Linked DNA regions of Danio rerio. The protein of the gene in region 2 purifies or fractionates together with the protein of the main gene of each other region. This does not show direct contact. Links are inferred from orthologs where the notes say so. Each region holds a gene or a part of one and is shown on either strand. Other genes may lie near its edges. The genes, in order: samd13 and l3mbtl3.

Region 1 (4,484 bases), on a different chromosome or scaffold from region 2:
CGTACCATGGCTGCAGCACACGCAGTGAAATTACGCTTGAAAATAGTCCCCAGATAAATCGGTAACAGCTCAATATTAATGCACCTGTCATTACAGAATGAGAGTACAGTTCCAATTTTATCACCCTAGACTATGTCTTCAAGGTTTTAGTAAACAATGTAACAACAGAAGAGTCAAGATATATTGATACAAGATATATACAAGATGCTAATAGATTAATTAGACTATTAGTTTTGTCTTATGCTAAGCTAAGCTAAAAGTGTTCCTGGCAGACAAACAGATCAGCTGAACAGATTTAAAAAAATGGTAAAACCCAACTGTTCAACTCTAGGGGGATGGTAAAATGGGGCTATTTTTAAAAAACGTATAGTGTTCCTTTAACAGTGGAAAATTTGGATAGCTTCATAAAACTGTTAACATATTTCAGACATCTAGCTGTCAGTTTCAAACAAAACTGTCAGTGTATGAAACACATAACCTGTGTGGCAACAGACTTGTCATTAATTATTACAAATGTTCTTAAAATGGTAGCTGTGTGGTAAAGTGTGCCAGATGTTTCAGTGTAACTGAGCCAGCGGGTCGACCAATAATAAATAACATAAACTTATTATACAGACATGTAAATGCAAGTCATGATGCGACATTAGCACAAACATTAGCGCATGATTATCACATACAGTACAATAAATACACACATTTGATCAAACTTAACTGAAAAATAATAAAGAATTTAAAGTATCCAACTTAATTATCAATAAATATACTTGCCATAAAGACTTTTGAAGATATTATGAATATGATTATGAGCTCTACCTGATCCTGGAAAGCGTTGGCTTGCTCCTCAAACCCTGTCGCTTTAAAATAATTGACCACATCCGCTACGGCCCAGTGGGCTGGATCAGTAAGCTGCCCATTCTCCACAGAACTATTTAGGAAGAGAAAAATCTTTAAATGATACCCCAATTTGATTTAATCAAAGACTGAATGCCTATACAATCCACAAGATATATGGTATGACTTTATTTGGCTTAAAATCGCAGTTATAAGCATCCCTTAAAATCCACATGAACCATTTTTTTGTATTGTGACGCAGTTCCTAATTTAACTGAACTTGATCGTGGCTTGTTTTTCTACAGCAAACTGATTGGATGTAGTAAAGTAGGCATTTCATTCTGAAAGATCAGGAAAAGTGATTTTCAGTAGAGTTATTATAACCTAACATATGTAATCTGACACATGGAAACAAAAAACTTCACACAAAAATTGTGTAAAAAGTGAAAGACCATCAAAACATTATACAGCAGCTTATGTTAAGTGGCAGAGGATGATAAAAGTAGATTTTTTGCACTGTGCTCGAATGTCTACAAATTTTTTATTTAAATTATTTAAACGTGAACAGATCAAACTTAATTTTCCCTGTTCCCTATCTTCAGAGGTTGTGAATCAGTAGGTCGTGTGCACGACTTCGGGCACTGACGAGCTTAGTGTACTATACATTTGGACACTGAGGGTCTCCAGAGGACAACCTTTTTGTACAACATCAACAACTTTTTAAAAGTACATTCTAGATAAATAATTACATTTTTCATATACTAACAACATGTTTTTCATAAATAGTCTGTGTTGTGAGAAAATGCAGCTCGTTTCATTAATTTGTTTGCTATATTTGAAAATGCAGCGAATTATTATTATTATTTTTTTTAAGTGTTTGCGATTGTAAGGATTTGCAGCACGTGTGCTGTCAAACAGATGAAGATCTTTTCTTTATTTACTGGCATTTTTTGTAATTGCATGTGTGTTCCTAAATTGCAGAATGTGTAAAGGGACAATTAAAACGAAGTGCAACAAGCCTTTCATTTAAAATCCTTAAAAAAAAAAAAAAAAAAAAACAATAACCCCCAGCATTTAAACAATAAGTATTGAAGATTTATTAGAGACTATCATAATGATATAACATAAACTTACTTTTTGGTCTCCACTGAACCATTTTCCTTGGTTTCCATGACTGCTGAATAACACACAAAAAATAAGAAAAAAAATTAATCACTTAAAAAAACAACCAATAACACCATATTTATTCATTTCAACAACAACTCGACTATCGCTCACCTGTTTGTCAGAAAGATGAGGCTGCTCTATTCCATTAAAGGTGTTCTATCCTCTTGTGCTGCTCATGCCATCTTCTTCAGTCTCCCGCTGTGCCAAACTGACCCCATTGTCAATAAACATGTATAGTAGACCTCCAAGTTTATGAATAATTGTTGTGGTAGCTGCAAAACACTAATAGACACGTATTACTACAAGGAAATTGATCAAAAACTCATTCAGTAAACTGACGTTTTTTAACAATGCAATCTATCAATTGAGTAAACCAAATTTTGAAACCACAAAAAAACCCTAGAGAATAACAAGTATTATAATCTATACTAGTACTTATTAGCTATGTTTATACAAATAAAGAACGTTATTTTAAAGTAAAAAGATTTCCACTTCGCCAAAATATTAAAACCAAAGAGAACTGCTGACATTTTAAGATGTAACTTAACGTTAAGCGGTTTGCTTCACAACGGAGCTGGTTTGACAGGTTCAGCGTCAATGAAGAAAAACACGATATACAAAATGACAGCCATCGCTAGTAACACATAGAAAAGCTGTTCAATTAATTATAAATCATCCAATATTTTTGTAAGCAAAGTTTACTTGATTTTTAATCATTTACCGTAGCTTTCGAAATACATATTTACAACAAGACTAAATGTAACTAATGACGGAAGCTGCAATCTGACAGGCTAAACAAGAGTAGCCTAAAATACAATCGAAACATAAATTTTGTATTTTACAAGTGTTTTAATGACGAATTAAATAATGTGACGATTAATAAAGCAGATGATAAACTCATTAGCTTGCTAGCTTTCATTAACTGAACATTTATTCCATTTACCGTTTTCCAAAGAAAACACAATCAACATTTTAAACAGTTTGGATGAAAATCTTACCAATTTTTTTAGATGTTTTATGTAGATGGTGTTAATATTACTGGTTGAAGATCATTGATACAATATTACGCTTTTTTCCAGTACAATCCAACAAATGCAGACGCAGGGGTTCATGGGTAATGTAGTCTAGAACGATGGGAAATGTAGTTGGTCACAAGCGTGAGCTACTCGTTTAACCTACTTCCTTACTTCCAGATTTTTGTTTTGATGAAAACTATTTTTTATTATGCAATAGAAAATAAACAAAGAGACAAAAAGGGTTAAATTGATAAAATTCCAGCAAATTAAACTAGTTTAAATAATTTACACCGAGAAAGAGTTTTACACGCAATATAATTGTTAAACTTTTTAAGGAGTTCACATATACATCAAAGTCCTCTCTAAAAATAAAAAGTAAGGGTGTTTTTTTATTTTATTTTTTGAAAATTTACATTCATGGATGTAAAATTTAGCAAAAAAGCAATAAATTAATAATAGTTCAGAGAGTAAAGAATACAAGTTTTGTTGAGGAAATACAAAATTTTGGAGATAATAATTTTTCAATGAAATTGAAATAAAAAAAGTCAACCTAAAACACTTTACAGTAAGTACACTCCAAAATAAATTATTTAGTGTTTCATCATAGTGAGTACAAAATGAGTATTTAGGGGAAATATTGTTATTAAATTTAGCTAGTTTAGTATTTATTGGATAGCAATTATCAATGATTTTGATTGAGACTTCAATAGCTTTATTAGATTTATTTATTTATTTTCCAAAGAAGCCAAAACTGTTGTTACCCAGATTGCATAATGTGGGCCACTTTAGGCAGTTATGCGGCACTGGTGGTCTTCCTTCGGCCCAGACAAAATGAATGTGAGCCCGGCCCGAAGTGACCCACCTGTACAACGGCAAAGGGGGGGCCAAAAATTCTAATTCATGTATGGGCCATTTAAGTCAAAGATTTGCCTTTTATGGCAAAATGTAATCTGAATGCGAGCCTAATGTGGCCCATGTGGAAAATGATAAATTTGGCGCAAATGATGGAGGACAAATGTGGCATAATCATTTAAGGGTAATCTGGCAGTCTAATGTGGCCCAGAGAAAATATGGCAAATGTGGCCCAGTTATTTTAAAACATATGTGGGCCAGCTTGGCAAATATTCGGCACAGTAAACTCTGGCTAATGCAGCCGTTAGTATATGGTGGCCCAGAGAAGATATGGAAAATGTTGCCCAGTTATCTTAAAACAAATTGTGTGCCACTTTTGGCAATGTTCGGCACAGTAAACTATGACTAATGTGGATTTGAGCCTATAGTTGGCCCAGAGAAGATATGGCAAATGTGGCCCAGTTATCCTAAAACAAATGTGGGCCACTTTTGGCAAATATTTTGCACAGTTAGCTCTGGCTAAAGCGGCCTATTGTCATCAACAGTTATCTAGCTATGAAAATAATCAAACAATATTATTTTCACCAGTCTTTTTATAATCTGGGGGAGAGTGAGGTA
Region 2 (3,829 bases):
CACAAAGTTCACAATTCAATACAGTTCACAAGATTTGATCCATTTTTGATCTCGATTTTCGAAGGTTGCGTCTGAAATCACCCACAACTCAGTGGGTTCTGCATTTGAATGTAAATGCACTACTCGGCTGCTACAAAAGTACATTCTACACTGGATGAATGTCAGTTGTATGAATTGAGCTCGGACGTTCTACATCCAGCATTTTAACATGATCACGTGACCAGTTGCATCACTTCACTCCCATTCATGAATTCTTTCATGGTGCATCATGGAATAGAGTGCACCCGATGCGCCGGAAGCAGTAGGTCATACAGGAACTTCTCAGATACTGTTTTTCCAATTCTATGAATCCAGACATACTACTCGGCTCACATACTGTTTCAGCATACTATATAGTATGGGTATGGGCGAGGCAGTGGCGCAGTAGGTAGTGCTGTCGCCTCACAGCAAGAAGGTCATTGGGTTGCTGGTTCGAACCTCAGCTCAGTTGGCGTTTCTGTGAGGAGTTTGCATGTTCTCCCTGCCTTCGCGTGGGTTTCCCCCACAGTCCAAACACATGCGGTACAGGTCAATTGGGTAGGCTATGTTAGTCTGTAGTGTATGAGTGTGTGTGTGAATGTGTGTGTGGATGTTTCCCAGAGATGGGTTGCGGCTGGAAGGGCATCCGCTGTGTAAAAACTTGCTGGATAAGTTGGTGGTCCATTCCGCTGTGGCGACCCCGGATTAATAAAGGGAAAAACTAATAAGCCGACAAGAAAATGAATGAATGAATGAATGAATATAGTATGGAAGTGTGCGATGTTGGACGCAGCTAACCTCTTAAATACACACTCTTCAGTTCTGTCTGTTCGAATTAATTATGATTCACAAAATTTGATTCAATAATAAGTCATATCAGGTACCGTACATGTATTTTACTCACATACACACACGAAAAATACGGCATACAGTTGAAGTGAGAATTATTAGCCCCCGTGTTTATTTTTTTCCCCAATTTCTGTTCAACGGAGAGCAGATTTTGTCAACACATTTCTAATCATAATAGTTTTAATAACTCATCTCTAATAACTGATTTATTTGATCTTTGCCATGATGACAGCACATAATATTTGACTGGATATTCTTCAAGACACTTCTATACAGCTTAAAGTGACATCTAGGGCTCTATTTTGAAAGTCCATGCACAAAGTCCAAAGCGCAGGGCGCAAAGGCATTAAGGGCGTGTCCGAATCCACTTTTGCTATTTAAAGTATGGGAAAATCCGCTTTGCGCCATGGCGCATGGTCTAACAGGGTTAAGCTTATTTTCTTAATGAGTTATAGGTGTATTTTATGAGAATGAACCATAGTCTCATCTCCCATCCCCTTTAAAGAGTCAGTTGGGTCGCGGCATAAGCGCATTTGGTATTTACATGGCAGACTTTGTAAACTGAACGCTTCAATGGCGAGAAAACAGTTAAACAGAGCATCTGCAGGGGAGAATAAGAGATGAGCCTCCTCATTATTTACTTTCACATTCACTTTAGTGAATAGGGAAAGGTGTTGTACGCAGACATCCATTAGCCTTTACATAATTAATTTTGTTTGTTAAGCGCAAAGATTAGTTTCAAAACTGTTTCTAAATTCAGTTCTAATTTCCAGCAAATGAATAAATGAACAATAACAACGAAGTGTGTTCAAAAACCTGAGTTATGTCCTAATACACATGCTGAGCCCCATATGGTCTAAAACCTGACAGGTGGACAAATCTAAGCTTGTTTTTTTATTAAAAACAAATATAAATATGCATATAATAAATAATACTGCTAATAATAATAACATTATACAAAAGCAAATTGTCATGAATAAACTGAAAAAGCCGCCTGAGATGAAGAAAGCATGAAGGCAGTGATTTTTATATTTATGTAGGCTAGAAAATAATATGTTTTGTAATATTTTAATCCTTTAACTCTTTTTCATATGTAAAGATATTTGCGTATTGCTGTACATCATGTCTGTATTAAGCAATGTTTAAGAGAGGCGCACAACTAACACGCTCTGCGCTGGACTATAGACCTGCTTTGATCTGGTATATTGTGCAGTCTATTATAGTTCCTTAAAATAGCAACACGCCAGCAATGCATCTAAACACACCTCCTTTATTAGACCGGAACGCCTATGGGCGCACGTATGAGCGCAAATGCATTTGCTATTTAAACAGCGTGGTGCAAAATGTCAAAACGACTCTTGCGCCAAGCTGAAACTAGCAAACAACTATTGCGTTGTGCCTTGTGCCACATTGCGCCGGGTGCATGATAGGGCCCTCAAAGTTAAAAGTTAATTAAAGTTAATTAGGCAAACAGTGGTTTGTCTAAGACAAAACAAATATTGATTAAGGGGACTATTAATATTGACCTTAAAATGTTTTTTTAATAAATTTAAAACTGATAAAAATAAAACTAATAAGACTATCGCCAGAAGAAAAAGTATTATAGGAAATACTGTGAAAAATTCCTGAATCTGTTACACATCTTTTGGGAAATATTTGAAAAAGAAATCAAATGAGGGTAGTATTTTTGACTTTAACTGAATATTAGAGAGCCTGAGACTGGTGTGGATGTGTTTACTGACCTGGAGGGGTGCTGAGGGTCCTGCCGTTCTCCTGACACCAGCCAACTGGGTGAATATAAGGACTGGTGGCATCACACCTGCACAAAAGAAGAAACACACACATGTACCTCAATACAACTAGCAAAACAACAATCAATATCTATGTCATGCAGCATAAAGTAAGGCTTTAAGCATTCTTGATACATGTATTATTAAACACACTGAGCTTTTGACTTATAATTGAAAAATAAAAAAAATAAAAAAATAAATCACAGGACAGCAAATCATTTGAGTGTGATTGTGTGCAGGAAATGTCATTATCACACACTTCAGAGCGTCGTCATGGGGAATTTACCAGTAGTCGTAACTTTCCTCCCAGTTGTCAAAGTGCACCAGGAAGCGGCTGTCCACCATGTCCGTAACCGTGGCGACGCAGATGAAAGTAGGATCTTTCCTGCAGACGGCCTCCAGCTTCATGCCAACCCTGAAACCTGATGGAGTCACCGTCTGGAGGACACACACAAACACACACTATATTAAAGTACATGAAATCTAAAAGCAACCATAATGATTCTGTTAGCTCACACTGCTAGTTTAGTGGTGAACAATTCATCTGTGCATGTCAATAAGAAAGAAAACAACAGATTGCTCTTGGAGTCTTTAATGCACTTCCTGTTTGTTGTTAGTTAAATTCTCAGATTAGGTCTGTCTGAGGTGTTGGGCGGGGCTAACATACATAACCACGCCCCTCCAGCGGTCAGTTTAGACAACACACAGAAATGGTGAACAGGAGGAGTCTGTAAGCTGTAATAACTCTCCCCAAACCCTTTTTCCAGTCTTTCTGAATGAAACGCCTACTTTACTACAGCCAATCAGCTTGCAGTAGAAAAAACAAGCCACACCCACTGTTTACTCATTTTTATATACAGTTTCTCCAGAAACTGCGTCACAGCTTCAGGTTTATGTGGACTTTAACTCTACATACAGTTGAAACCAGCAGTTTACACACACTCTAAAAAAAGGAACATAACCATTTTAAAAGATGTCTGATGGTAAATCATACTAAACGTTTACTATTTTAGATCTGTAAGGATTACCTGAATTATTTACATTTGCTAAATGCCAGAATAATAAGATAATTTTTTCTTTCTGAGAATTTTCTATTAATTTCTAGACAGTCTAAAGTTTACACACATTTCCTTGGTATTTTTTTTAGCTTTGCTTTTAAACTGTATAACTTT

The links.
Region 1: the proteins of l3mbtl3 (region 2) and samd13 purify together in Homo sapiens (affinity purification with mass spectrometry; 3 studies listed by BioGRID and IntAct, counting the BioPlex papers as one, with this or other methods). This does not show direct contact. The link is inferred for Danio rerio from reciprocal best matches to the Homo sapiens genes L3MBTL3 and SAMD13.

What each region holds. Positions count from the first base shown.
Region 1 is NC_133186.1:8,332,124-8,336,607, reverse strand, and holds the start of samd13 (sterile alpha motif domain-containing protein 13), read right to left. Parts: upstream 3,118-4,484; 5' UTR 2,997-3,117; intron 2,298-2,996; exon of another isoform or gene 2,281-2,297; 5' UTR 2,110-2,280; intron 2,009-2,109; exon of another isoform or gene 2,006-2,008; 5' UTR 2,004-2,005; coding exon 1,966-2,003; intron 926-1,965; coding exon 814-925; intron 1-813.
Region 2 is NC_133195.1:2,235,936-2,239,764, reverse strand, and holds part of l3mbtl3 (lethal(3)malignant brain tumor-like protein 3), read right to left. Parts: intron 3,096-3,829; coding exon 2,944-3,095; intron 2,687-2,943; coding exon 2,610-2,686; intron 1-2,609. UniProt on the Homo sapiens protein: Is a negative regulator of Notch target genes expression, required for RBPJ-mediated transcriptional repression. It recruits KDM1A to Notch-responsive elements and promotes KDM1A-mediated H3K4me demethylation.